Notamacropus eugenii: one gene and its partners. The protein of the gene in region 4 purifies or fractionates together with the protein of the main gene of each other region. This does not show direct contact. Links are inferred from orthologs where the notes say so. Each region holds a gene or a part of one and is shown on either strand. Other genes may lie near its edges. The genes, in order: ECPAS, PSMA1, PSME1 and ADRM1.

The links.
Region 1: the proteins of ADRM1 (region 4) and ECPAS purify together in Homo sapiens (affinity purification with mass spectrometry; 3 studies listed by BioGRID and IntAct, with this or other methods). This does not show direct contact. The link is inferred for Notamacropus eugenii from reciprocal best matches to the Homo sapiens genes ADRM1 and ECPAS.
Region 2: the proteins of ADRM1 (region 4) and PSMA1 purify together in Homo sapiens (affinity purification with western blotting; 5 studies listed by BioGRID, with this or other methods). This does not show direct contact. The link is inferred for Notamacropus eugenii from reciprocal best matches to the Homo sapiens genes ADRM1 and PSMA1.
Region 3: the proteins of ADRM1 (region 4) and PSME1 purify together in Homo sapiens (affinity purification with western blotting; 3 studies listed by BioGRID, with this or other methods). This does not show direct contact. The link is inferred for Notamacropus eugenii from reciprocal best matches to the Homo sapiens genes ADRM1 and PSME1.

Annotation. Positions count from the first base shown.
Region 1 is NC_092874.1:403,759,326-403,766,704, forward strand, and holds the start of ECPAS (proteasome adapter and scaffold protein ECM29), read left to right. Parts: upstream 1-4,196; 5' UTR 4,197-4,284; coding exon 4,285-4,321; intron 4,322-7,379. UniProt on the Homo sapiens protein: Adapter/scaffolding protein that binds to the 26S proteasome, motor proteins and other compartment specific proteins. May couple the proteasome to different compartments including endosome, endoplasmic reticulum and centrosome.
Region 2 is NC_092877.1:37,944,677-37,951,906, reverse strand, and holds the start of PSMA1 (proteasome subunit alpha type-1), read left to right. Parts: upstream 1-4,039; 5' UTR 4,040-4,425; coding exon 4,426-4,428; intron 4,429-5,760; coding exon 5,761-5,805; intron 5,806-6,081; coding exon 6,082-6,183; intron 6,184-6,323; coding exon 6,324-6,427; intron 6,428-7,230. UniProt on the Homo sapiens protein: Component of the 20S core proteasome complex involved in the proteolytic degradation of most intracellular proteins. This complex plays numerous essential roles within the cell by associating with different regulatory particles.
Region 3 is NC_092878.1:9,149,984-9,157,728, forward strand, and holds the start of PSME1 (proteasome activator complex subunit 1), read right to left. Parts: upstream 3,008-7,745; 5' UTR 2,801-3,007; coding exon 2,762-2,800; intron 1,943-2,761; coding exon 1,910-1,942; intron 1,712-1,909; coding exon 1,649-1,711; intron 1,510-1,648; coding exon 1,399-1,509; intron 1,316-1,398; coding exon 1,270-1,315; intron 1,141-1,269; coding exon 1,043-1,140; intron 744-1,042; coding exon 675-743; intron 583-674; coding exon 515-582; intron 322-514; coding exon 267-321; intron 148-266; coding exon 61-147; intron 1-60. Other genes in the region: FITM1 (fat storage-inducing transmembrane protein 1), read right to left, coding at 3,546-4,167, 4,647-4,912; DCAF11 (DDB1- and CUL4-associated factor 11), read right to left, coding at 7,047-7,178, 7,302-7,408. UniProt on the Homo sapiens protein: Implicated in immunoproteasome assembly and required for efficient antigen processing. The PA28 activator complex enhances the generation of class I binding peptides by altering the cleavage pattern of the proteasome.
Region 4 is NC_092872.1:500,849,086-500,856,210, reverse strand, and holds the start of ADRM1 (proteasomal ubiquitin receptor ADRM1), read left to right. Parts: upstream 1-4,104; 5' UTR 4,105-4,412; intron 4,413-5,995; 5' UTR 5,996-6,002; coding exon 6,003-6,212; intron 6,213-6,638; coding exon 6,639-6,755; intron 6,756-7,125. UniProt on the Homo sapiens protein: Component of the 26S proteasome, a multiprotein complex involved in the ATP-dependent degradation of ubiquitinated proteins.

The DNA of each region.
Region 1 (7,379 bases), on a different chromosome or scaffold from region 4:
TACATGGCTAGGTGAGTCAAAAATAGGTTTTCTTCTTGCTCTGGTGTCTTATGATTTTGCTCTACTTAGAAAAATTTCTTTTATATTCTCTCTGCTTACAGGGTTTGTCTGATGTAGTTCACTGTGGAAAATATTATCCAGTTAGGTCCTTTTAGAAGCTTTTCGCTGTCTTGCTCAGAGCAGTCTTTAACTTCAGTTTCCAACCAGTTGGAGATAAGACTAGATGGGTAGACTGGTTCTGGCCCATAGAGCACCTAGAATGCTGAGATAAGGTGTTTAGACTTCATTTAATAAGTAATAATCTATCAAAGGTTTTCAAACCAAGGACTGATTGGATTTGGGCTATAGGAAGATGAATATGACATCTTTATGTAGAACAGCTTGAACTGGGGAAAGACTAGAGGTGGGATGGATGATTTGTTGAGCTGCTACTAAAGCCATCTTTTTTTTTTTTTTAACTAAAGATGGTACTAGGTTGCTCCTCTTGCCACTTTGGATAGGAGGACCAGGGTAGGATTGGGTAGAGGAAATACATGTCTAGGGTGTCTCTGGAGTGGGGGATGGGGGAGGAAAGAAGCATTCTGATATCTATTTTTTAAATTAATTTATGCCCCCCTCACCTTGTCTTTCCCCTGAAATAAAATGAACAAAACCCAAATCCCTATAAAAAATAAGCACAGTCAAGCAATACAAATCCAAATTGGTCATGTTAAAAAATGTGTATTTCGGAATATTAGTCCATCACCTCAGTGTCTGGACATAGATTTCATAGCTTCCTATTTTAACTGATTATTATTTCTACCTAGGTAATAAGCTCAATTGTTTCTAGGAGTACAATTGTAGACAATGCCCTCTAAACTTCTGTGCCTTTCCCCCATTTCCCCACTTCAGTAATAGTTCTTACACAGCCAGGGACTTGAGAATAGACAAGGTTTCGAACAGCTATGGCATGGAATATGACAAGAAGTCACAGGCTTTTAAAACTTTGGAACCAAAAGGCACCTTAAAGGTCAGCTGGTTTGGTTTGTAACCTGGTCCTTGGACAGATTTCAAGGGGTCTGGGAACCTGAATGGGAATAAATTATGTCCTTAGTTCAATTCCAAGTGAGTTGCTTTGTAATACAACGTATTTTATTTTATTCATTAAAAACATTTTTCTGAGAAGGGATCCACAGGCCCCAACAGAATGCCTGAGGGGTGTGGAACCAAAAATGTCAAGAAGTCTTCATCTAGTCCAACACTGTCTTTTCTACAGAGAAGAAAACTGAGGTCCAGAGAGATAAGTAGCTCAAGGTCACAGAGCTATTAAGTGGCAAAGTCAGGACTCAAAACCAGGCCTCCTAATCCCCAAACTACTGTTTTAGATGCATAAAAAGATTGCTAAACAGCTTTTAGAGAGCACCAACCTTTATTTAGTGGATTCAATAGGAATTAAATGACCTTTTCCTGAAACATGAAGAAGCTTAGGAGCAATGGATGGTAGCATTTCACTGGTTTGTTGGAACAAGTAAAGAAGGAAGTCAAGGGACTGAGGGAACAAAGGCATGTCCAAGAGCTGGCCTGGGGACCCGGGAGGGATAGCAAATGAAGACAGAGTGCCAACGTCATGGGAAAATGGGAAAGGGTCAAGGTTTTGTAACCAGGATGAATCACAAACTCAGTGGTGACGCAGGGCACAGGTGGGGAAGAGAGGCTGTTCCTGGTGAATCACAGTCCCTCAGGGTGCTCTGAACACAGTAAATGCTTAACCCATATTCATCAGATGAGTAAGTATAACCATTCTATACTGTTTCCTCATCCGTACTAGCCCGTGTGCTATGCTGACTACAGTACTACTCCTCAGATTCGGACACTTTGAGTTTAAAGACCACTTCTGATACCTGCTAGACGTAGTGACCCTGGGTAAGTCACTCAGTCCCTCAGACTGCTCTGGGTTCTTATTGCAGAGCCAATGGATTGAGTGCTGCAACGGAGGTCAGAAATAGCCGAGTTCAAACCCCTCCTCGGGGCCAGTCACTTAACCTCTGCTGACTCAGTTTCCTTACCGGTAAGATGAGGATAGTAAGAGCACCTAGGAGGGCGGTGGTAAAGATCAAGTGAAATGTTTACAAACATTCTGCGAACCCTAGAATGCTTCCTAAACGCTAGCTGTTGTTATTGGAATCAAAAGCATGTGAAAGCGCTTCCACGGCATTTACTACGGAAATGCAAGTTATCGTTATCACAGACACCAATTCTACAACTTTGGCCCCCATGGAGCGCCCCTCCACTCCTTTCCCAACTTCCCCGTATCTAAAACTTAAATTTTTTTTTTGTCGGGGGAAGAGGAGGTTTTCCACTTTCTTCCTTTCCTGCTTAAACTGAAAGGAGGATAAAAATCACACTTTTGCAAAAAAATCTCATGACTAGGATTACCAAAAAGTTCTTTATAGCTAATAAAAATAGGAAGTTTTAATAATTCAACGTAACTACGGCCCAGGTTCGACTGTGACGGACCGGTCCTGCAGAGCACTGGCTCTGACTGCCGGTTACCGACCCGGTGACCCTTCATCCCTCCGCTCCACCATCAGGTGGATGACAGGAGATGAGCAAGAGTGCGGAGGGGGGCGCGGGGCACGGAGCGGACCCGGGCACCCGAGGCGCAGGGCCGCAGGTCTAGAGCCGGCAGGCCCGTCCGGGTCGTCCGGTCCAGGTGAGGACACGCGGTGTCCAGGGCTCCCCCGGGCAGCCCCAGGGGCCTGACACGCTGTGCGCCTACTGCTCCGGTGCGGAGTAAAACAAAAGCAGGATTCAGCCGGTTCCAATTCTAGTTTTCATTTCGGAGACCGCGCGGCACAACGTGCGGAGCTCTGACCCTGGAGGAACCCCGGGTTCCCACCTGGCCGTGACCCGGGGTCAACGCCCCCACCTCCGCGCCGCCCCCACCTCCGCGCCCGGGACCACGCCGGCAGACCGAACCTCGGGAAGGTGCGCGGCCCCGAACCCACCCAAGTCTGCTCCCTACATCGCAGGTCCAGGACCTTTCCCTCGTCCCTCGGACACGACCCTGCGTTTTTGGGGGGCGGGGGGCGCGGGGCGCAGGGAGGGGCCCGGCCGGCCTCAGGTCCCGCACCGCGTCCCGGCCCGGCCCGGCCCGCGATGGTTACAACAGAGCTCTCGCTCCATGGGCCGGGCCGCGGGCGCCGCGCGAAGCAGCTGCTACAAGCTCCCTCCGCAGATAGGGGGAGAAACTCACGCTTTTCTCTCTCTCCCTTTCTCACTCGCGGGTTACCCAGATCTCCTCCTCCTCCTCCTCCTCCTCCGCCAAGGGGAGCGCACCGTCTCCGGCCATGGAGGTCACCATGGACTCAGGTCAGTCCCCCCCCACCGGGCTCGTTTGCACACGAACTGCCCGGAGGGGCTGGGGGAGGAAGGGACGCCGGGGGAAGGAAGGGGGGCCGGGAGCGCCCCCCCAACCCAACTAAACAGCGGCCGCCGGGAGGCTGGGAAGGGAGCTCCGCGCACCGGCTGGGAGGGTCGGGGAGCCCGCGGGGGCGTCTCGCGACCTCCCACGGTGCGGGGAGCTCTAGGATTAGCGAGAAGGGGGGGCGCGGGGCGGCCGATGCCGGGGAGAGAAAGGGGAGCGCCGGAGGAAGGAGGGAGGTAGGGAGGGAGGAGCGGGGAGGGAGCGCGCGCGCGTGTGAGGAAGCGGGGGGAGGGAGCGGGGAGGATGGCTCAGCTTTTTCTAAATATAAAACTAAAGGGAGCCGAGCGGGCGAAGCGGGGAGACGCAGCCGCGGCGTGGGGGGCGCGGGCCCGGGGGGGAGGAGGAGGCGGCTCCGGCAGCGCCGCCTCGCCGTCTGTCCCGGCCGGGCTCTCGGAAAGTCGGGCTAGAGCTGGAGAGGGCGCGAGACGGAGACGAGGAGAGACCGAGACGGAGGGCTAGGGAGAGAGCCAGAGAGGGAGGGAGGGGGGAGACCGACGGGCTGCGGGCGATCGGGAGCCGGCCGAGAGGCTGCAGCGGGGCCGCAGGAGCCACGCAGAAACGGTCGGAGGAAGAGCGACCTCTCTCCCGCTCGCAATTTCGCCACCGGCGGGGAGAGACAGGCCTGAAGGGAAGCCCGGGAGAGGTCGCGGCCCGCCCGGCCGCAGGAGCGGCGGGAGCGGGGCGGCCTGGGCCTCGGACAGGCCTGGGCCCGCTGCGCCCCCTCCCCACTCCGCCCGCCCCCGCCTCGCCCCCTCCTCTCCGCCCCGCCCCGCCCCCTCCCACGGCTCCGCTCGCTCCCTCCCTTCCCCGGGTGCAACATGGCTGCGGCCGCCTCCGCCTCTCAGGACGAGCTCAGTAAGTGACCCGGGCGGACTGACCAACGGCTCCCCCACCTCCTCCGCCCCCGGGGCGGCTGCTGCTGCTGCTGCCCCCGCGGCTGCCCGGAGCGCGGAGCCACGCCGTCGGGCCCCCCGGGCGGCGGTGTCCTTGGGCAGGCCCGGGCGGGGGAGGGGGCGCGCGGGGGACGTTTTTTAGTTTTGCGGGCGGGGGTGGGTGGTTGGAGCGGGGCCCGGGCGGGGGAGGAGAAGCCCAAGCTGCCGCCGCCCTGATTGTTTTCAGGCCTCTGCTTTGCAGCGTCATGTTGTGAAACTGAAACCCCAGTTCCGGGCGGGGCCTCGGTCTTTGCCCCTCGTGGGGGGGAGGGGGTGGAACTCACGTCCGGACCCCGATCCCCCCATCCCCCGGCCGTAGCCTGCCCTGCCCTGCGAGGTTTTGGAACAGGTGGTGTGGAGGGGAGGGATGCGTGTGCGCGCGTGTCTGTGTGTTGCGTGTGTGATGAATGTGCATGTGTGTGATGTGTACGTGTCCGGGGTGTGTGTGCGGGATCAGTGCGTGTGGGTGCAGGTACTCCTCCTCGGGCCCCCCCCACCCCCGTGCTCCTCCAGGATCTGGAGACCTTGCCATGCACGTCTCTGCCTCTGCTCCCCCCTTCCTCCATTAATGTTTCGCATGATGCTGGAGGAGGGGGAGGGTCAGTCTCAGAAAGAGCAGGCACTTGTCACATTCCCCCTCGTCCGCCCGCATTTTAGCTTCTCAGTGCCAAGGTAGGTGGCGGGTCGGCGATCTTTTTGTGCCCGCTTCGGGGGCAAGGCCCGCACTTCCTCGGGAAGAGGGGTCGTTAAATTCATAACAGGGAAAAAACTCCAAGAGCACTCGATGTCAGGGAGAGCCACCAAATGCAAAATTTCAACCATTCCAAAGAACAGAGCCATGTTGAAGGAGCTGTGACATCACACAAATTGGAGGCCCGACCCACCGGAAAACATTTAGATTCTAATGCATCATGGGAAATGTAGTTCTTTTGGAGGGGATTAAAGAAAAGCTTGCGTGTGTGCATGTATATATGTGTACGTATGTGTCCCCGCCCCCTTGAATGTTGCCATGCAGGAAGAGCCTCATTGGCATCTCCATAAAGATGGATCATATACCCAGAGCTGGAAGGGACTTTAGAGGTCATCTAGACCAACCATCTCTCTATGCAGAAAAACAAACTGAAGTCCAGTTGACTTAGCCACAGAGGCAGTACATTTTCACAGATGGGATTTGGAACCAAGTGGTCTGACTCCAGAGTTGCTGTTGTTTCAACCACACTGCAAGCCTTTTTAGTGTTTATAAGTAGGAGCCTTGAAAATCACCTTCATTTCTTTCACTTTTGCTCCAGTGTAAAGAAATGATGTTTGGAAATCTTGTAAATGGAATGGATCGTGATGAAGGTAGAGAGCTTCACAGAAATTGTTATTTTATTTTCAAGATCAGCATGTTCTGAGAGGGACTTTACAAACTGGAAGAGGATCTGAGGAAAGTGATTAGCATGATAAGGGGGTTTGAAACCCTCTTGTCAGGGAAGGTTGAAGCGACTTAGAGATGTTTATCCTGCATAAGAAAAGACCTGAGTATAGGGGATGGGTAGGACCATATAGGTATTGGATGAATATCAGTTTAATGTGATTGTGGAAGATGTATCAGAGTATATAGATAGATATGTGCATGTGTGTGTGTGGTATGTGTGTGTATATACATATATACATACACACACATATGGTGTTACCTGTGACTAGTATAGAACCAATTGGGTAGTAAGATGACTTTGACCCAGCATAAGGAAATGTTGAGTAGAACCCACTTTTCAGTCATACTGTAGGTCAGCTAAATACATTGAAAAGGTTCTATTGGATGACTTCTGTAATCGCTTGTAAATCTCATTCTTTTCCAATAAAAAAATAGCTACATAATAGATTTTAAGAACACTTTTTTTTTTTAATTTGCCTATTTTGAAACAAACTGTGATGTGGAGGGAGTAAATAATAATGGTTTAGAATTATATAGCACTTGGAGATTTACAAAGTGTTTTCAGATGCAAGCTCTTAAACAATTCTGTGAGGGAGGCATGCAAGTATTACCCTGTTTTATGGATGAGAAAACTCAAGTTCAAGTTACCACTTGCCCAAGGTCATATAGCTAGCTTGTGAGTATGAAAAATCCAGGTCTTCTAATTACAAGGCCCTACAACACATAAAGATATAAGGATCCTATGAGTTGGAAGACCTGGATAAGATGAACTTGTAGTGGTAAATAACAGTACTTTATTAGCCGTTAAATTAGATGTCGTTTTTCTGAGTGACCTTGTCCAAGTCATTTAACCTCTGTAGGCTTCTGTGAGCTGATAAAATGAGAGGAGGAAATCCTTTGAACTAGAAGAAACATTGAAGCTTTCTGTTTGCTTTTAGAATCATAAAGCGAGTTAGGATGGTTTGACTGTGTCTTCTAAACTGGCTGACTTCCCAGAATTCTGTTTGGAGCCAGGCTTGTATTGGTGAAAGTATTTAAACGTCAGCTAGATAAATTGGGAGTTACTGGTGATGCTATTTGGGAAGTGAGTTAAAGGACTGGAGCTGCATAACATACTTGGTCTATCAATAACTTGCAGTATGGCTTTATGCAAGTCTCTTAACTTGAACCATCTATCTTGGTTTCTGAAACTTATAGAACTGGTCAGGTGCATAGCAAAAATAACCCTTAAATAACCAGTGTTCAATTTAGTGCCATCATTTTTAACCTGAAAGAAAATTTCTGCACTTAAATATCTTGAATTGGTTTAGGACTTATATTTTCTGTTTATAATTTCTTATTAAAAATCATAAGTATGTAAGTTACGTTTTTATTGAAGATAGTGATAAATGGTATAATTCACGTTTATACAGAGCTTTAAAGTCTTAACAAGCACTTTCTTCATAAAAAATGTTGTGCAAGTATCCCATCTTATGAAGACCGTGGGGATGAGAGATCAGGTCGAACTCAGGTCTGTTGAGTCTAGTGCTTTTTTTTTCTCCAACATTCAATCTGTTAACTTTTA
Region 2 (7,230 bases), on a different chromosome or scaffold from region 4:
AAATAGAGTGAATGAAAGGTAATTTGACAGGGAAGAAACTAGTATGAGAACTAGTAAGAAGAACCAGGAAAGGACTCCTAAAAAAAAAGATCTGAGCAAGCCTGAAGGAAAGAAGGGAAGCTAGTAGGTAGTAGTAACAGAGAAGAGAACTCCAAACATGGGGGATAGCTAGGGAAATCCATAGTCAAGACATAGAGCACTGTGTGCATGAAACAGCAGCTGTTGGATCATAAAATGTGCGTGAAGAACTAAAGTATAAGAAGGAAGACTAGAGAGATAGAAAGAGATCAGTTTGTGAAGGGCTTTAAATGCCAGACAGGGTATTTTATATTTGATCTTGGAATTAATAGGAAACCACGGAAGTTTATTGAGTAGCAAGGTGATATGATCAGATCTGCAGTTTAGGAAAATCACTTTGGCAGCTTAGTGGAAGATAGATTGAAATGGGGGAACCCTTGAAGAAAAGAGATCAACCAGAATGCTACTTCAATAGTCTAGGCATGTGATGATTAGAACCTATACCAGGGTAGTGATAATGTGAATGGAGAAAAGGATATGTGTAACAGAGATGTTGTAAAGGTAGAAATGCAGCTTGAGATTAAGTTATGAAGGGCTTTAAAAAATGAACAAAGGAACTTTTATTTTATTCTAGAGGAAACAGGGAGTCACTGGAGTTTATTGAGCAGGGCAGAAATATCATCTGACTTGCCTACAATACCCCTATACCCTTTCAGCTGAGGGCCCCACCTCTTACTTTATTGGGAAAATTGAGACCATTTAACTTCCATCCTTCTTCTACAATTTTCATCTTCAGATCATCCCTCACTTTCTACCTTTCCTCCAATTTCTGATCATGAAGTGGCCCTTCTTAACATGGTTGACTCTTGTAAATGTGCCCTTCATTCTGTCCCCTCCCTCATACTATCGGCTCTATCATCCTCACTCTCAGATCTTCAATTTCTCCGTCTACTCCGTGCTGCATTCAAACACGCCCAAATCTCTCATATCCTTAAGGAAAACAAAACAAAACAAAACCCTGTACTAGACCTCAGTATTCCCTCATGTGTGATCCTATATCTCATCTCCCTTGCTTAGCCAAACTAGAAAAAGCTGTCTGCACTTATTACTTACTTATATACATGTTGCTTATTTACTACTTCTCTCACCCAACCCTTTGCAGTTTGTCTCCTCACTTTATTACTCAACTGAAACTGCTCTTTCCGAAATTACCAACAATCACTTAGTTGCCAGATCTGGCAGCCGTCAATCCTCATCCTTCTAGACCCATCTGCTGAATTGGACACTTTTGACCATCTTCACTTCTTGGACTTTTATGATCCTATACTCTCCTGGTTCTCCTACCTATCTAACTGATTCTTCTCAGTCTCCTTTGCTGACTTCTCACTTGTAACTATGGATGTTCCCCGAAGCTCTATCCTGAGTCCTCTTCTCTTTCTATATTCTCTCTTGGTCAGCCCTCCCTCACTCAAAAACAAAGTCAAGTTGCAAGTTATGTCATTATTTCTCTGATGGCATGGTCTTCTCCGTCAACGAAGGACAAACACACATTCTCTTAGTGACCTTATTACTTCTCAAGGGCTTAATTATCTTGTCTATGCAGGTGACTCACAAATATATTTATCCATCATTAGCTTCTCCCTAGAACATTAGTCATCACTAATTCTCTCATGGCTGGATGTCCCTAAAACATCTTAAACTCAACCCATTATATTACCCACCAAACCACCCCTCTTAACAGTCTCTCATTCTTTCCAAGGCACTACCATTCTTCCAGTCTCCTAGGTTTGTAACTTTAGCATTTTCCTTGACTCCCCACAGCCTCTCACCTTACATATCTAACCACCTGCAACATCTTGTTCTTTCTGTTTCCACATCTCTTGCATCTGATCCATTCTCTACTCACACAGCTATTTACTACCTTACACTGCAGCTACTACCTTAGATTCTCATCACCTCTTATCTAGACTATACCAGCATCCTACTAATTGGTGTCTCTGCAACAAGCCCCGTCCTACTCCATTCTCTACACAAACTGATATTTCTTTTTTGAAAAAATGTAAATAGTATTTTATTTTTTCCAATTACAGGTAAAGACAATTTTCAAGACCTGTTTTTTATAAGGTTTTGAGTTTCAAATTTTTCCCCATCCTTCCCTCCTCTGTCCCCGAGACAGCAAGCAATCTGGTATAGGTTATACCTGTGCAATCATATAAAACATATTTCTACCAAATTGATATTCCTAATGGGAAACAAGGAGAGAAAAGGAAGTTTGGAATAACTTCTGTGGAGAATGAGAAAAGGAATCAGGGAGGAATAACAGAAATGGAGTTGGATAACACAAACTTATGATGATCTCACTGAACAGAGATATGCAATTTCCTCCAGCTCTATTTAGCACGAGTAGGTGGAAAAGAGACAGAAGAGGAGAGTAATCCAAGCCTGAGATCTGACAAGGAATAAGTGGTCATAGGCAAGGGACTGGGGGATTTGAGAGCAGAGGACAGTGTGGAGTTGAACTGAATAACACAGGCTTGATATTGGAAAGGGAGGAAAGTGAAGTCAGAGTAGGAAAATAGCCTGAAAAAGTACTGATGAGGAGAGGCAATGGAGCTCCCAGTGAGAAGGAAAAATCCTTGCCCCTACTGACAGGCAAGCTCAACCAGTTTATCTTCCAACCGCAAATAACAGTCTGGACAAAGGCATTCTTCATCCACTTGGTGTTTGGTATGTAACTAGTTGGGCAAAACTCAAGTGATTATGAATCTCATCTAGGAGGCTCTGGAATAGTCTGGGAACTGATATAAACAGCACAATATCATCCACAAACAAGTGTCTGGAGGACTTCCCCCTCCATAGGAAATCCTTCTTTGACTGGGACTCTCCATCGGATCTCTTACATAACAGCAGCACTAAACATCTCTGCTTTGTTGGATAGTAATGATTGGAAGGTTCTCTTTCAAAAACTCATGAATAACTTTGACAGGCATATGAGCCCAACCTTATCAGAAGAGAACTTTTACAGTTTTGCTCTGCTCAATCAAATGCTTTCCTATTGTTAATAAAACAATGAGCACAGCGGGATCTGGACATTTTCCAGTTAAATACATAATGGCAAAGATGCCAAATTAAGTCAAGTATTTAAGTGCTTACTATGTGCTAAGCCCTGGAAACACAAGCAAAGTAGAAACAGTCTCTGCCCTCAAGTTCATCATCTAAAGGGGAGAGGGGAGGTCTTCTTTAGAGTATATATATGTGTATATATGTATATGTGTGTATATATGTATATGCATGTATGTATATGTATATATGTATATATACACACATATATTTTTTTTTTTTTTTGCAAAAAGTTGCCTGATTCCTCCTAACATCTTCAACAAGGCTGTCTCCTTCATTAGACTGTAAGATCTGAGAGGTCTGGGGCTGTTTTTGCATTTCTTTGTATTCCCAGAACTGAACACAATGCCTGGCATATAATAAGCACTTAATAAGCTGCCTCTGTTGCTTTTCTATCTACTTAAATATCTATACATAAAAAAAATTAAAAAATCTATATATAACACTATGCCAACTGTATCCATTCACCTACTTGTCATCTGGCTCTAGGATTTCATCCCTGGAAGAAGACCAGTCTAGACACGCCCTTGGCCGTGGGGATCACTGAACGCTTGTAACTTACACTTAGCCTCATGATCACGTGCGCGCACGGCCACGTGCGCGCAGAGACACGTGGCGACCCTCGAGGAGGAACTCTAACTTCTCCCCTGGGCTGGGCACCAGTGTACATTGACCTACACAATACATAATGGCGATTCTGAATATCAAGAATGCATGACGTCAGTCACGCCCCTGTGTACCATCACTCTCCCTACTTGGCCAAATTAAATATAATAGAAACTGCTGCCGTTTCTGTGACCCTTGAAGGTTATAAACAGGTACGACATTTATCTACAGGTGTGAATGGAGACACAGAAATACCCGGCATCTCTCGGGATAGAAATCTGCATAGGCCCCTCCCAAATCATCTAGGCCTCCATCCTTTGAGGGAGGAGGGAACTGGAGCCTGCGCTCGCTGCAAGCCGGGACCTGGGCCAGCTGGGCGAGGAGGACGGCAGTGTGAGGGAGCCTGGGGCCTCGCGCTTTGGAAGGGCCTGGCGGAAGTGCGGGGATTTCCCGCCCAGCCTTAGCCTCGATCTCGTTCCTGCAGGGGTTGGGGCGGGGAAGGAGGGAGGAAGGAAAAGAGATGGAGTCGATCGATGTCTCTCTCCTGGATTGCTCTTGCCTGCGCCGTCGCCGCCGTCGCCCCGCCCCGCAGGCCCGCTCTGTCGTGCGCCGAGCAGCAGCCGCCGCCTCGCCTGGTCCCGCCGCTCCGCTGGAGGTCTCGGCTTCGCCAGCACCGAGAAAATGGTGCGTCCAGGGGAGCACAGAAAGGGTGCGGGTGCGGGATCCTGGGGTGACCCCGGAGGTCTGGGCCTCCAAGCGCATTCCTCCGGGGCCGGAGCGAGCCGGCAGGCACAGCAGGCCGGGCTCCTCGGCCTGGTGAGGAAGCCGTGATTCAGCACGTCGCCCCGGATGCCGGCCCATCCTCGACCTCGGCGCCCGCGGCCTGCTTCTGCTCGCCCTCCCGCCAGCGGCCCCGGGCCCTGGGCCTCCGCTCCTTCCCTGGGGGCCCCGCGGGGGCCAGCGCGGGTGGAATTTCTGGGTATCCCTTCTCCCCCCCGGGGGGGGTTCTGTTTCCCCATCCCCCCACGGGTTTCCCCGCTTTGCCACCCAGCCTTCCTGTCCATCCCGCATGGACTTCCGGGGAAACTGAGACCCAGAGTGGGGAAGGGCCTACCCCAGAGCCTTTGTAACTGTCCCCAAGGATCTCTGGCCCCTCGGGCCATCACTGACTGCCGGGCAGGGCCTTGGAGAAGAAACCTCCCTGCTCCCCCAAAGGAGAGAATCCTTGCAAAGCGCTGTGTAAACGTTGGCCACGATCGTCGGGGTCATTGTTTATAATATGGGAAACAGACCCCGGCGACCCAGCAGGGGCCTTGGTGGGAGCCCCGGGACCCCCCCTCCTTCATTTCGCTCGCTGTCCATGAACCTGCCGTCGCTGGGGTCCCCGAAAGCTTCTGACACCGCCCTGGGGCAGCTCCTCGGAGCAGGCTGCTGTTGTCCGAGGCCTCTTCCGTCAGCTTCCCAGTGAATGAATGTGTGCCTCCCGTTGCACGCCGTTGTCAGATGTGTTGTTTTGGATTCTGCCTTTCCCTGCATTCTTTCTGTGCCCGGGGTACTGTAGCTATGTGAAGTTAGGGGCCCTGGGCTCAGTTACCCAGAGGTAGACTCCTACCAAGTGTGAGACCTCCCAGGGCCTGCTTCTTCCTTTCTAAAAGACCTCCTAAGGTCCCTTCTCGCTCTGAATGCTGTGAGCCTATGAACCCTCTTCACTGAGTTAGGATATGGTAGGCGTTTGGGAAAGGGGATGTGTTTCATAGGTGTGTGAAGAGATTTTTATGACTTCATATGTACGGTTAATACATTGACTGCCTTCTGGATGGGTGGGGGAAGGAGGAAATTTGGAACTTAAAAATGAATGTTAATTTTTTAATGTAATTGGGAAATGTTTAACGAAATATATCTTGAAACTAATATTAAAAGTTAATTAGAAAAAGAAAGGCTGCCAGTTGTCAGGTCACCAGCTAGGGTTTGCAATAATGCCCTTTATATTTAATGCAGTTTTTCCTTTGCTTTCAGTTTCGAAACCAGTATGACAATGATGTCACTGTTTGGAGCCCTCAGGTAAAAAAAAATTCCCTTCCTTTTCAATTGTTGGGAATATCCTGGTAGTATTAAGAATATATTCAGAATATATCTTATGAGATCCTGTCATGGCTTAATCTTACTGAATAAATGACAGATTTCTGCAGACATTTCTGGAACTTCATCTTTGTTACTGAAATGAAAGCTAATACCAAAAAGTTAAAAGACCTGATTCAACTACAAAATAATGCATTAATCTTGTAAAGTTTTCTAGGATATCTGCTTTTTCTAAGTAACAGTTTTTTTCTCTTTTAGGGCAGAATTCATCAAATAGAATATGCAATGGAAGCTGTCAAACAAGGCTCAGCTACTGTGGGCCTGAAATCCAAAACCCATGCTGTACTGGTTGCTTTGAAAGTAAGTAAAGTAGAAAGTCAGATTTCCAACATAAATATTTTACATCCTTAAGAACCACTTTAACTTCAAATTTCACTGCAGAATAAGCCGTACCAGACTAATGTTTATTTTCTTTTTCTTTACTGCCTCTGCATTTGTAGAGGGCACAGTCAGAACTGGCAGCTCATCAGAAAAAAATTCTACATGTTGATAATCATATTGGAATCTCAATTGCTGGGCTCACTGCTGATGCTAGACTCTTGTGGTGAGTACAGAATCTTTTGGGGGCTATTTCTGTACTAGAATAATAATCTCATTTTTAAAATGATATAGGGACAAGTTTGGCCAAATGATACACAGATTAGCATTTATGTTTTTGAGAGATGACCAGAACCATCTAATGATAGTATTGAACTACTGTGGAGAAAGAGGCAGTTTGACAGAGTGCCAGGTGCAGGATGCTCTCTAAACTAAACTAACTTGGACCAGATCAGAGGTGTTTCATGCACACAGGCTACCTTAGCCTGAGCTAGATGCAGTTGTAATTGGCAAATAGAAGTGGATATGCTATGCACAGGGATCCATTTCTAATGGAGTTTGACATTACTCCTGTAGGCGATCTCTACAGTTCCTTCCAATCCCAAATCCTATGATCTTGTGGGCATTTGAAGGAGTATAATTATTCCTGATAGCTCTTTGGAAGATGTTGTGGGGGAGAGACCTGAGTTCAAATCTGGACTCAGACTTTTACAAGCTGTGGAACCCTGGGCAAGTCATTTTATCCCTGTTTGCCTCAGGTTCCTCATCTTAATGATAGCACTTGCCTCCCAGGGCTGCTGTGAGGGTCTGATGAGACAGTCATTGTAAAGCACTTAGCACAGGGCCTGGCGAAGAGTAGGTGCTACAGAAATGTGAGTTATCATCATTGTTATTACTGGCTGTGGGACTTTGGACAAGGCATGTGACTTCTCTCAGCCTCAGCTGCCTCCTCTTTAACATGGGGCTAATAGCACCTCCTCACAGGGCTCTTTACATGTGTAAAGCCCCCTCAAGCCTCAGAGTGTTGTG
Region 3 (7,745 bases), on a different chromosome or scaffold from region 4:
AACCCTCCCAACTTTGCCTCTGCTCTTCCACCAAGCAAATTCCAGGGTCTAGTTCCTTACATAAGTATTTCGGATCTCCATGACCATGAGTCTTGTCTCTCCATACTGTGCTTCATCCAGTTCATGAACCAGTTGTCGGTAGTCACCCTGTGGAGACTTCAGGGTTAGTTCTTCATACTGGCCTTATCTAATGCCCATCCTATCCTTCCTGGGGGCTTCCTTCTGAATTATGCCTCTGCCCACTCTGGACCTGCTTCCTCACTCACCACATGTGGTTGCTTTGCTGCTTTAGCCACTGCATCACCCCTTTCAGAGAAGTACCTAATGAGGAATGAGAAAAGTTATGGGGTGGGTGGGAAAGTAATGTTCCTTATGAGAGGTGAATATAGAAGACTTTAAAAAAAAGAAACCAAAATGGCAGCACCTAAAATGAGAGTGGAAAGCAAGAGCTGGAATTTGAGCCAGAAACCACTAAGACAGGGGCAAGATATACATGTGAGACTGGATCACTTACTTTGAGATCTGGGTTTGGAAGCCATCCAGCTTAGTCCTAAGTGTAGTCATCAGCTCAAATACCTTCTCCTAAGGAAAAGAAAGGTAGGAAAGAGATGAGATAAAGCATGGCTCCAAAGCAGGATCAAGGTAAGGTGTTTAGGGTGGGGCAGTATCATCACCTGGACTGCTACTCCAAAGTTGTTTCCATCCTCAATTCGGGGCACCTGTAGCTGCAGCCACATGGAAACCTGGGGAAACAAGGGCAGAGACAACTCAACTCTGTCCCCCAATCCCATTTCCTTTTCTAGATCTTCAGCTTTCTGTATCACTCCATCTCTACCATCTAAGCCTCAGGCCATATCCCCTGATATCACCTGCCACAATCCAATCTCCCTTTTTCCACTCTGATAAGGCACTGTATTCTGACTGACAGGGTACCTTACCAACTGGTAAGGCAAAGGGGAATTGTTCTGGATAAGCTGGTTCTCTAATGGACAGGCCTTCTCCAAGTCCTTCCAGAGAGCTAGGTGAGGAGTTACGGGCTTACCACATTGAGCTGTTCTTTCACATCTTTGATTTCAGGCTTCAGTCGCCCCAAAAGAGCCACAATCTTCTCATTGCAGCTTACAGGTCCACAAGGAGGACCTGAGGAAATATACCATAAGCCTAAAAGTCAAGTGGGCGAAGGCAGCTGGTCCTGGGGAGGATCTCCTGGGGATACTGTATCCATTAGGGAACCAGGACTTAAGCCCCCATCAAATGACCCCCTATTACCTTTATCTTCATCTTCCTCTTTTTTCTTTCCATCTTTCTCCTCCTTCTGCAGAAGGAGAGGAGTCACATGAAGTCAAGTCCTAAGCATTCAGATATTTCCAGCCTAGCCCCATCTTGTTCCCCCCTTACCTCTTCTTGCTTCCGACGTTCTTCCTTCTCTTTCTCTTTGGCTGGGTCAGGGATGGGGATGTCCAGGGCGGCCTTGAGGAGACTCAGATCAGCCTCATTCAGAGATGGGTCCTAAACATGGCAGAGAGAAAGGGGAGCAGTCAATGTTTTCTCTTTCAGCATTTCTTATCTTCCCACTCTCCTTCCTTTCCCATGATCATTAATATCCCTCTTCTTGACCTTTACTCTGCCTCCTCCCCAGCCCCAGTACCTTCAAGAACTCATCCAGCTCTGAAACCTTCACCGGGAAATAGGTTCCAAGTAGGATCTCTGCCTGTGTATGAGGTAGGGGGTAAGGGGTAGAGGTCAGATGTTGATTGATTGATTGACTGAACAGTTGATCAGGGCAAACTTTCAGCCAAAGAAAAGGAAGCCAAATTTGTGTGAATTGAGATTGGGGTAAAGATACGTTAGATTTGGGGTGAGGCATCCAGGAACAGAGTGAAGGTAGTGTGTAATAGTGAGGTCTTACCTGAGCACATAACTCCTTTCTGAACACATCTACCTGTGGGGATAGAAGACAGTTGTCATGTAAGGCCAACAGGCTGAGACCTGAGGAAAACTTCTTATCTCCTTGGGATTGTGGACCCAGATATTAGTGAGATTGCATCTCAAGGTATGGAACACTTCCCAGTGGGGCTGAGTTCAGGTGAAACATGGGAACAGATCCCAGGGAGGCTTAGATGGGTGGGAGGTACGGAACAGAAGTCTCCGGGGGACTGGGTTCAGGGAGACGTGGGAATTGATCCCAGTGGGCCTCCATCTGTGGGAGGTGTGGGAATAGTTTTCAGTGGTGCTGGGAGAGGTGTGGGAACAGATCCCAGTAGAGCAAGATTCTGAGATAGAGAGAGATACGGGTGTGCAGGTTTTGCCTGCTTGTCACATGCGCGAGCCAGGTGCTCTGAACCATCACCCGTCCTTTCCTCCTTTCTCTGCTTCACCTCACCCCATCAAACCAAAGCCGTTTCACCACTCCCTTCCCTCTGGCTGAAGTCCAACTCTTTTCCCACCCCAAACACCTGCCTAGTTTTTCTTTTATAGGTCCCAGTTCCCCTTTACATTTCACTGGGAGTGCTCTAGACCCTGCAAGGCTGCGGTTCCTCACTTCATGCTGGAGATTTGGGGGCAAGAGCACTTTGACTCCGAAGTACTCTCAAACCCCTTCTTGTTGAGAGGCCTAGGAGAGGAGGATGGGGGGAGGGGAATGGGCAAGGGGAAGCAAGGGGAGAATGATGGCACAAAGCTGGGTAGAGCTTCCCTCAGGACCACCCCTCCCCTCCACCCTACTCCCCATGACTTCACCCCTCCCCTCTGCTGTGCTCACCTTGGCTTGGGCTTCGGGTCTGACACTGAAGGTGGCCATGGCAGGGGGGTTAAGGGGCCAGATCGAGCAGTGAGACAGGAGCAAGGGGGAAGGGAAAGTGAAAGCAGCTTTATCTGTAGGGACCTCCCTGGGAGGGTGGAACTGAGCCGGAGGCGGGATCTGGGTTAGAAGAGGGGAGGGGAAACGAGAGGGCCTGGAGGAGATGAGGCAGGGCTCCAAAGTACAGTCCCAGGGAGTAGGGACAGAAAGCCTCTTCCAAACTCTGTATGTTTGTTTTGTCTGGTTCCAGCCCCTCATGACATGCTCAGACTTTGTCTCCAAGTACCTCTTGACCCAAAGGGATGAGCTCTCTCTCCTCCCAGCTCCCCAAGGCTACCGTTCATCCCTTCTCAATCTGTCTTCCTCTCTGTAGTGTCACATGGGCTCACACAATTGTACAGACCAGGTGGGAAGGACATGTTTCCATCTGTCTACATATGTGTGTATGTCCTCTTGGTGGAATTGTTCATGGAGGGTGCTGGGAATAAAAGGTATCAGAGGAGAACTGAGGAAGGGGTGTGGGATCGTGGGATGGTAGGCTGTGGCATCCTCCTTTTCTTGGAGACGCCCCCCAATCCTGCCCTAGGCTATGTTAGGGATCAACTTGGAATGTAGGAAAGGCATTTTCGGGTCGTTCCCATTCTGTAGTGCTTTTAACCTCCAATATTCAACTGAGGTACCACCCACTATTCACCTCAAATAAAGAGAAGAGCCGGCTCCTGGCTTTGATTGGCCTTTATTTCCATCAATCACGTTTAAGTCTGGATTGGGGGCGCTGGGGGTGGATGAAGAGCCCATGGCCGGGACTTCCTGGTGACCAGGGTTGATGGTACCAGCTGCCATAGGTGAGGTACCAGGCGAAGGTACCCACAGCAGCACCTACCACCTTGTGGGTATATTGGTGGAAGTAAATGACAGTGCAGAGCAGCAGGAAGTTCCAGAGGCCCAGCAGCAGCACGTTGAGAAGGAAGACGAGTCGCAGAGGGGCACCAGCAGGCAGCCCATGCGCCAGGTACCGAGCAAAGACTGCGGTTTCCTCAGCCATGAGCAAGCAGCAGAAGGTGAGCAGGAAGGTATGAGAGGAGACAGTGTAGCCCCTCCACTGGTGGCCAGCTGCCAGGCAGCTGCGACGGTCAGGCAGCTCGTGGAGCAGCAGCCCCTGGGGCAGAGGCTCAAAACAGGAGCCCGTCAGGTCCTCAATGAGCAGGAAAGCACGGCCAGCCCCTCGCCATACTGCTGCCCCTACCACCAGCCGGCTTAAGTGCCGAGCTGTCACTGCCACTCGCCGCGTGGCCAGGAACACGACAAGTAGTACAAAACCTCCCAGGAAGGTGCAGGTCCAGCCCCAGGCAGAGTTCACAAACTTGCTGTGGGTTAGAAGAGGGGGAGGGGAGGAAAGGCTGTGGTGAAGAAACACTCCTTTTTGGATCCCAGGTTCTTCTGGATTTCTCAGCCTTTCAGGAATCCCATTTCTCCTCCCCCTGGACCTTTGCCACCTTCCTCTGCCTTCTGACCCCATCTCATCTCTGCACCCATTCATACTACCCCGGGCCAAATCACTAACTCTCTCCATTTCCCCTGTTCTTTGCCCCCTCTTTATCATCTCCAGCCCTCTACTCCCCTACCCCCTAATCCCCTAAAAGACTTCTCAGTCTCAGAGCACGTCCTACCTTTTAAATCCTCCCTTTGCACCCCCATAGTTCCCCCCACACTTGACCTTCTCCTCCACCTCCTGGCCTATTTTTAGTGCTCAGACTGGCAGTAGGACAAGAGCCCAAAGGAGGGGGGAGCTTAGAACCCAGAGTGGATGGAACTAGCATTAAAGGGCCTGACCAGAGGGACTTACATGTTGAAGAAGTTGCCGTGGCTGGCAAAGATGGTGCGGGGGTTGACATGGAACTGTAGCAGGGGTCCGAAGATGACGACGGCAGCTAACCAGGCATGGTAAAGGCGCCGGAGGCAGGGGCTCCCCAGGAGTCGGGCAGCCTGCTCACTTCCAAAGTACAAGAGGGCTGATGCCAGCCAGAGCAGTACCCTCAGCAACCAGCCCAGCACCACTCGAAGCCGGGCCCCCAATCCTGTCCCTGCCCCCACCCCTAACCCCCGCTCCATGTTCCCTCCCCTCTGACTGCTTGCTCTGCTGGGCAGCTGAGGAGGGGCTTGTAGGGCCCCCTAGGCAAGGACGGGCAGTGACAGGTGCTGGAGATACAGGGCAGAGCTCGACTGGCAGCTGGTGAGGGAGAGGGGCGGGGGGCAGCGAGGGGCTGTGGCTAACGCTGCTGCGTCAGCAAGAGCAGTCTGTGTGTCCTTCCACAACGTCCATGCCCTTGTGTCCTCAGTTTTCCTTGTTTCAATTTGTGGGTTAGTGCCTCCATGGTTATATCCTCTGAACTTTTCAGCCAACACACCTACTTCACTGTCCATTTTTAAAAGGGAGGAGGGGTGCTCAGGGGAAGCAGCTTATCAACTTTTCAAGTTTAAAGACATGTATGGCCATCCTCACATGAAACTTTCCCTATCTGGTGCAGGAATTTTCCAAAGTAGGTGGAGCAAGGCAAGGACCCATTCCAATATACCCTCGACTTGGGCCTTGGAGTGGCTCTGGGGGTCCACGCTGCTGTAGAGTTGTAGGCCTGGCCTGGTTCACAGTCAGGTCCAGGCTGGAGTCCTTGGAAGTTGGGAAGGGGGAGCAGAGCAGTCCTGCATAGCATCTTCCAACCTCAAATTTGCATCCTGTACTAATAATTGGGCTGGAGCAGGTCACTACAACTGGAGTCCTTGGACATGCTCCACCTTACCTCACTAGACTAACCGGGAGGAACCTTTTCCTGGTTTTGTTACTCTACACATTTTTGAAAGGTTTTTGTTATTTCCCCCTCTTCCTAAATATCTGGCATGATTTTGGTCCATACCAGGAGGCAATATGGCAAGAGTTGAAAGACTATGGTCCTCCCTCTGTTTTGCCATTACCAAACTGCACAACCTTGGGTAAGTCAACCAATCTCTCTTTGACATGACACACTTTCTCAGAGGGTGACTTTAGATTAGCTGGTCCTCTAACATCCTTCCCAACTCTCAGGTTTTATCTATCTAAGTAAGATGCACTGTCATCTGTCTGTGAAGTGGTCATCACACTGAACTACTTTTTCCTTTGAAAGGAGACTTGAATCTGGTATACTAGGGGGTCCATGTTTACTCCCTTCCAAATTCTACCTTTATTTGCTGGGGAAAATACATGTTTTAGGTTCCTGGAGTGGGTAAATGACTAAACTCCAAGCGAATTCCTTATTTTTAGTGGGGGATTATCGTTCGTCTTCTTAAGAGAAAGTAGAAAGCACATGTCTTTGAGGTGTATTTTCAACCCAAAGGAGCATGTCCTAGCTTTTAGGTTCCTGTACATTGTGTTATGCATTTCAGCCCCAGTTGTGGAGTTGGAGAGGTTTATGTAGAGCCTTAGTATACAAGGAACCAGACTGAGTCAGATTTCTGAGGAAACTTTATTGAGGGCGCTAAAGCAAGTGTAAGACAGGAAGGACCCCCACCTCAACCTGCTGAGTTCCTCTACCCATCTGCCCTGAGAGGACACAAGCTGAAGAGTCAGTTCCACAAGGATTAAGATGGGGGCATTAGGACTTCCTACACTGTAGCACCTCCTACTCCAAAGACACAAGGGAGAGCAGATTCCCAGCCTGAGGGAATAGCTTTACTTCTTGACTAAGAAGGAATGACATTCTGGTCATCATGAAAAAAGGAGAGCTGTGGTGGGGAAACCCACCTTCTGAATGGCTAGTCTGACCTTCAACTTGAAGGTCCATGCTACTGGGCCAGGCAATGGTAATCAGATTCTGATTGGCCAACCCATTTAGACCGAGCCCAGGAACACTAGTCTACAGACCAACTCTCAGAATCCAAACATGATTATAAAAAATAAGCATTCTCTGCCTGGCTAGGACCATACCTAAATAACTACCTGGGGGTGACCTCTTTATTTTCCAGAGTTGTCTGTCCTGCCTGCCCTCCAGGTGGGGATGGAGGCTGGGCAACAGCACTAGATTAAAAACACAACCCAGCCTCAAGGGGCAGGATACCCCCACCCAGAGCACAGTTAGGGTGGAAAAGCTAGGGTTTCTGCTCCTTGCTCCCTAACCCTATTAGCTCTTCCACATATCTCCCTGAAGAGAGAGAGAAAAGATTAGGTGATTCCCCGTGGGGGCTGCACAGATCAGTCCATACTGACAGGAAAGAATTACTGGGAGGTGGAATAGGCTCCATAGGCTCTGTATGGCGGAGTGGCAGTAGGACAGTCCTGGGAATCCAGCAGGTCCTCCCTGAAGTATTCAAGTGGACGGTACTGCCAGAGGCGCAGGTTCCCATCCCACTACAAGGGCAAAGAGGAGGTTGTTAGAGGAGGACCCTCTGAAGCCTTGAGCCTACATGAATCACTCAAACCCTCACAGAACCATTCAATTCCTGTTCCCTTCCCTGATTCTGCCAATCTCACCGAACTGCTGACAATCTTTTGCTCAAAGGGATGCCAACTGACGTCCCGTACACAGGCCTTGTGGCTGGACAGCTTCTTCACAATCTGGCCACTGAGGAGGTCATATACTACACAGGAAAGGAAAGAATGAGAAAGGCCACTAAGGTATCATCCATCTACATTTTATTCTCTAGCAAGGGTCCCTTATGGCAGTCTAGTGAAGCCTGTGGACTCCATCTCAGAATAAGTTTTTAAATAATAAATTACATGGATTACAAGAGAAATCAATTGTCCTGAAAAAGTTATTAAAAAAGAAGCTCACAGACTACAGGTTTAGAATCCCTGCTTTATGGGAAGCTCTTACCAGCTTAGCCTATTAGCCACTTGCTCTGGACATTTTTCTTGTGAAGCAAAACCTCTTATAGCATACAAGGGTTCTTTTAAAGTCTCTTTTCCTTTAAAACC
Region 4 (7,125 bases):
CTTTGTCTCTTATTTGGCCATAATTTTTCCTTTATCCATATGTCTGACTGGTAAATTTTTCCATGCTCCGTGAATTTGCTTATGATATTACTTTTTATGTCTAAATTATGTACCCATCTTGACCTTGTTTTGGTAAACAGTATGAGATGTTGAAAAGCCAAGTTTTTAATGACCATTTTGATAATTCCTTTGGAGTCACAGTTTTGTATTTTCCTTTCTCTGTCCTCAAGATATTTTTACCAAGATCTTGTAGAGAAAGAGACAAAATGGAGAGAGTGTATATTTAATCTGATGCACTCCCCAAACATGAGTCTAACAATTTTTTTCCTCATTTGGCTGATTAGTGCGATGACCATGAGTGAGTAATTTTATCTCTCTGGACCTCAGTTTCCTTGTTTTTGTAATGATGGATAAGGCTTCTAAAGCCTTTAGCTCTAAAGTTTTGAGATCCTACAATCAGTGAGTCAACATTTGCTCTTAGGCCTCTAAGTGGGGCAAAACCACCTTATCTGTGTCTGTTAATACGATGCTTGTCTTTAATTTACCTGGCTACTGGTGGCAATTTACCCTCATCAACTTTTTCACTTTTTTTTAGAGGTATTATATACCATTTCTTAGAAGATAGAAGTGAGTCCTAAGCATACTTAAATCAGTAGTGAAAATCCTGCTACATATAGCAGTAACAGTAATGCATTGAAATAGCACTTTAATAATAGCAACATTGTGCAGTGATCAACTATGAACAACTTAGTTCTTCTAAGCAATACAGTGATCCAAGACAATTCCAAATGGCTCATGATGGAAAATGCTGTCCATATCAAGAGAGAGAACTATGGAGTGTAAATGCAGATAGGAGCGTACTACTTTCACTTTGTTTTGTCTTTCTCATGGTTTTTTCCCTTTTTGTTCTGATTCTTCTTTTACAACATGACTAATATGGGACCATGTTTAACAAGATTGCACATGTATAACGTAAATCAGATTGCTTGCCATGTTGGGGAGGGCAGCGAAAAGGGAGGGAGAAAACTTTGGAACTCAAAATCTTATAAAAAAATGAATGTTGAAAAATATTTTAACATGTAATTGGAAAAAATACTATTTACCAAAAAAAATATTGCACTTTAAGATTTACAGAGTGCTTTAACCCTACCACGATCTGTGTTGTCTTTGGTGATTTAGCAATGTGAATAAGGTGCAATGGTGGATTGAAACACTCCACTTAAAACTTTTTCTTTTACCATTCTCAGGGTTGGTAACACTGGATTTATCCAGCGGTAATTTGATGTGTTTTATTTTGCCTTTTGTTCAGTCCTTTTTCAGTCATGTCTACCTCTTTGTGACCCCATTTGGGGTTTTCTTGGCAAGATACCGGAGTGGTTTGTCATTTATTTCTCCAGCTCATTTTATAGATGAGGAAACTGAGGCAAACAGGGACAGATGACTTGCCTAGAGTCACACAGTGTTTGAGACAGGATTTGAACTCAGGCCTTCCTGACTCCAGGCCTACACTGTAGCACACTAGCACCACCCAGCTGCCCTTTCCTTTGCCTGTCAGAATGTAAATCGAATACATAATATGCAGAAATCACAAAGTCTGTCAGTACAACTAAGTATTTAACCTAATCTTCTGAAGATTGATCTACCAACATCGTGTTATCTTATAGGAATCTTTTTTAAAAAATTCCTCCTCAGGCAAATTTATACATTGTTTCCGTAGAACTGCAAATTGGGCTAGATTTTTTTTTAAGCTGGCTCATTCTCCTTGGCTAGAAAGTAAATGTAATAATACTGTACTTCCTTTGGTTAGGTTATCACAAATTGACATTAACACTTGTAATTATTTTTCACTAAGTTTGCATATTAGTAAAACTCATGTTGTATTAATGTGCTTATTCAATACTTTCAAAGCATCTCCATTTTGCTTTAGCATTAATTAATGTAAAATTACCATAAAGTAAATGTATAGATGATGTTTTCATAGACTGCTTTCCAGTAAGATGTATTTCTATCTTTTTATTAAACCTCTTATTACTTCTTAGGGAACTGAAAGATTTGCATGTTGGACAAGAAGGAAATCACAACTATGAGTAGATAGTAATGTTTTAAATTTTTGGCAAGTAGGAATTATGTCATTAATGTCTAGATAAAAGCTAATCTAAAGGAGAAAGTTATTTTCTTCCAAGAATAAAACATTTTTACAATGGTTGCTTTAATCCTAGGGTGTTGGGGCATTTTGTAGAGATTAGACTATGTTGCATGAGGAAAGTCGTTCAGTCAATAAGCATTTCTTAAATGGTCTACTGTGTGCCAGGCACTGTGCTAAGTGCTGGGGCTACAAAAAGAGGCACAAAGCAGTCCTCGCCCTTGAGGAGTTCACAATCTAATGAAGACTACAAGCAGACAACTATGTAGAAACAAGCTATATACAGGAAAAATAGTAAATTAGAAGAAGGCACTCAAATTGCGAGGTTGGGAAAGACTTGGAATTTTAGTTGGGCTTAGAAGAAGGTGTGATAATATTGGAAAGTGGGGCTGGGGGTGCTAAATTATAAAAGGCTTTTAATTGCAAATGGGAGATTTTTGTCTGATCCCTGCAGCAATCAGTGGCCTCTCACTCATGGTTAGTGAGCAGGAGCCCTGGGGTGACATGACTGAAAGTGCACTTTAGGAAAATCACTATGGAGGCTGTATCGGAGGGGAGAGAGACTTGAGGCATGCAAGCTCACTGGTAGCCAGTAGTGATGAGAGCCCCATTCCAGGGTTGTGGCAGCATCAGAGGAGAGAAGGGGGCAAATTTAGAGATGTTGCAAAGATGAAATCAACAGACCTTGGCAACAGTTTGAATATGGGGCTAAGAGATAGTAGAGGAGGTCGGGTGTCAAAGTGTCATCCTCTATAGTAAAAAGGATGGGGGCAGGGGAGAGTTCTGGGGAAAGATGAGTACAGTTGTAGACATGTTGAGTTTAAAATGTCAATCAATAGTCAAATTTTAAGACTTTCCTTTTCACTTGGCTTCACTACTTTGGGATTTCTCCACATGCCCCCATCCCCATCTCATTTCATCCTCTAACCATGCTTTCCAGTTTCCTTTTGTGAATTGTGTTTCCTCATCAGATTATAAGATCCTTGAAAATAAGAAGTATCTGTATATCCCCAGCACTTAACATATTGCCTGGCTTGTGGTAGGCGCCTGATAAATATTTACTTGATTAGTGAAATAGTACAGAGGTAGAAGAGAAGGGAACACAAAACATATCACACAAAGACAAGGAAAAGTACGGACATTGTTAATATTTATTCTGGCACATACTCAGGCTCTTATCTCGTGTGCCCAAGTGACTTTTTGAGTCATACTAACTACCTTTGACTTAGAGAACTAGAAAGAACAGTATACCTCTAGAACCCAAGATGTGAAGTGGTAACATTGCTAGGGAACTTTTTTTTTTAATATTCAAAGATAGAGAGGGAGACTATTTGGAACTCCAAATTTGAAAAAAAAAAAGAAGAAGAATGTTAAAATTGCTCCTGCACATAATTGGGGAAAATATAAAATATTAAATAAGAAAAAAAGAAAAGCACAGACTGTGTTTGTGTTTGTGTGTGTGTGTTACAAGCATCTCAGAGCAGAGAACCTGAGCTGAATGAATGAAGTCTGGCTCTTTCCCCAGCTTCCCTTCCTGTGCCTTTTCTATCCATAGCCGTAATCATCTGTTTTTTCATTACCCAAACTTTAACTCGAGATAGACTTAAGTACAAAGTTGGGGATTTTCCTGAGGGTTTAAAGCTATTGTAACAACTCAGAACTTTGGTCTGTTAAAATAAACTCCCTAAAACAGAAGAAGAGCAGGAAACCATCTAGACCCGGGAAGCTGTTGCCCACAGTGCTGAAGGCAAGCTAATTATAGAGTGTTACAAATCGATCCCCTTTCCTAGTTATCTGCTTTGCAAAGTCACCCATTTGGTCCTGGGTTTTCTTAAACCGAGGTACACGATACAGAGGGGCCTTTCAAGAGGCCTCTGTGTAATCCCAGGCGCCTCCGCTAGGGGCCGCCGCCGCTCCCCTATGACACAGCAACAATAGGGACCGCTCTGCCCCGCCAGACTGCGTGGTGATGGGGCTTCCTCTGCGCGCTGTGGGGTCGGCGGAATGAGCCGCCGGGGGTGGGTCCAAGTACGAGGGGAGAGAGAGGAGAGGGAGGAGGGAGGCCGGGAGAGTGGGGAGAGTGACGGACGGCCTCTCCAGCCAATCGGTCTCAGAGAAGCGCCGGTAGCGCGTCAGGCCCAACCCAATCAGCGCGAAGAACGGAGGGAGGGTGGAGCAATAAGAGATTTCCGGCCGGGCCGGCAGCTGCAGAGGAGGAAGAGCGAGCCGTAGTCGCTGCTCCTGCCGCGGTCCGCGCCCCAGGCCCTAGGTGAGAGCTGACGGCTGCTGAGGGCCCGAGGCGCAGCCCCACACCACATCTAGAGCCGGGGCCCGGGCCGCTCGGGGAGGGGGCTGTGGAGAGGACGGTTCGGGCGGGCGGGGGCCGGGGCCGGCGGCCGGGTGGGGGAGGCGGGGGCCGGGGGAGGATCTGCCCCGGCAGGCAGGGGTCGGGCCCGGGACGGGGTGGAGGGGCGCGGAGAAGCTGAGCGGGGGTGGCTGATCCTCAGGTGGCGGAAGGGCCGGGCTGGGAGGTCAAGGCCAGATGTGGGGCTGTGTGGAGGAGGAGGAGGAGTTTGGGGAGGGCCTGACCTCCCCGGTACAGAGTTTTCACGGTGGCTCCCAGCCCCCCGCCCCCCATAAAGCGCCTCCTCTATCACTTTTCTGCCTGTGTTTCCATCCAGTAATGCAGTATTTACGTCGGGCACTAGGGATTCTTTCTCAAAGATACCCTGCCCTGCTGGTGCCCTGTCAGTTATTTTCTGTAGTGTCGGTAGCTTCGTGCCAGCCCCTGGGAGAGCCCAGCCCGGGCATGTGAGCCTGGCCTCCGGGGAGGTTTTCCTCTAAGGAGAGAACATCACTTTTGACCGGAAGGACCAGTTCCATCGATAGAAATCCCTTCTCCAACCCCTTGCCTTCCCCTCCTCGGAAGAGAGTTTATGCAAGTGAAACTCAGTCTATCCAGTTGTAGAAACAAGGCACTTTGGTGGGCAGCTTTTTCTTAAAAAAATCAAGAAAATTCAAGACTTGGTGAGAAAAAAAGTTAAGCATAATTCATTCAGTAAACATTGATTTACAGTCTGTGTTCCAGACACCGCCAGGTATTGGGGGTAGAAAAAAAATAATCCTCTCCTTCAAGGAACTTAACTTTTACTGAAGTTTTCAATGAAAGGGCAAGATGCAAAGTTTTTTTTTTCCTTAATTTTTTTTTTAAGTTTAGAGTAGCATGGTATTATAGGAAAGATTGCTGTATTTGGAGTCAGAAAACCTGAGCGATTCCTAGCCTCACTTACCCTCCTATGGCAGTTAACCTCTGGGCTTTGATTTCTTCATCTGTACAATTGGTGACATGGGGTGGGGTACTGGATTTAAGGTCCCTTTTAGCTATATAACTGTGATCTCATGATCTCTTCAGGATGGAATTCTTTAATAACATTTGGGCTCATACAAAAGCAGCTTGTCTTGGGTAAGGTGTCTCTTTCTGAACTCCTGATGTTCAAGTCTTTGTATTGGTTTTGAAGGTCACTGAAACTTGAGTGTTTGCTTTTTAAAATAGATTTTCAAGTATATCTGAGTTTATAATTTCATTATGTGATTCTTTATATCTTTTCTGGGATACATGAAAGGGTATGGTTTGGATGTAGACTGCTGCTTATTTTTCAACAAAACCGTTTAAGGTGAGCTACTTCATATCCACCTTCGCTCTGAGCTATGGTATTACCTGATATAGTTCAAAGGGGCTAATTTTCAGTGCTGGTTGCTATTAATATTTAACATATAGAGTACATATTGAAGAAAGTTTTACAATTAGGACAATATGGTATAGAAAAATAAGGTATAAATTTGTTTTTCCAGTTTCAGAATGACTTCAGGTGCTTTGTTTCCAAGCCTAGTCCCAGGCTCCCGGGGCTCATCCAGCAAATACTTGGTGGAGTTTCGAGCAGGAAAAATGTCATTGAAAGGAACTACAGTTACCCCAGATAAACGGAAAGGGCTTGTATACATTCAGCAAACTGATGATTCCCTCATTCATTTCTGTTGGAAGGATAGGACTTCTGGGAATGTAGAAGATGTGAGTATTCGGTAATTTTTAAGTTAAAAATGAATAAATTTGGTTTTAATACTTTCCTTTTAAATGTTTGTATTATATCTTCTTAAAGATTGAAATGTCTTTTAAAAAAATTGGTAGCACCTCTCTGTGGTTTGAACTATGTAACATCATCAAATCACTTAAACGCTTTGTCCCTCCATGGGAATTGTACTAGAGGACCTCTAAGGACTCTTAACTCTCAGTCTCTGATCCTGTGATCTGTAGTACCCAAAGATAAATTTAGATTTGACTCTGTAACAGTCAACAAAATGAATTGCTGTTAATTGCTTTACATTTAGTCATGAGACTTCGTAAAAGGTGGTTTTCAGTAGCATCTTTTCGTAATGAGTTATAAGATAGACTTTTTTTCTGATCTTTCAATAACCCTTTACTTACCTTTTTGTCCAGGACTTAATTATTTTTCCTGATGACTGTGAATTTAAGCGAGTACCTCAGTGCACTACTGGTAGAGTATATGTACTAAAGTTCAAGGCAGGATCAAAGCGACTCTTCTTTTGGATGCAGGTTAGTGAAGTTTTTAACTTCACCTTTTTCACCAAACCCCAATTTTCATCTGAGTTCTTTAAACCATGGATTTATATACATATGTATATGGATTGGTCATTACCATCTCTCCCCCCCCCCCAACAAAGTGATATTTAGTGTATTATAGATCTGATGATGTATTGGTTTCTTGTCATGAGCATTCTGTATGGCCCTTGTGTACACAGCACAAATGTTTGTGTTAAGAGTCAGGATTTCCCTTGTGGAAATAACATAAAATGAAGATAAAGCTAAGTGAGGAGTACAAGAAAGATGGTAATTGTTCAGTGCAAAGATATTTTGGATCTTGGTCCATTTGAAATATTTTGTTAATGACCCCAGTTCTTCTCCT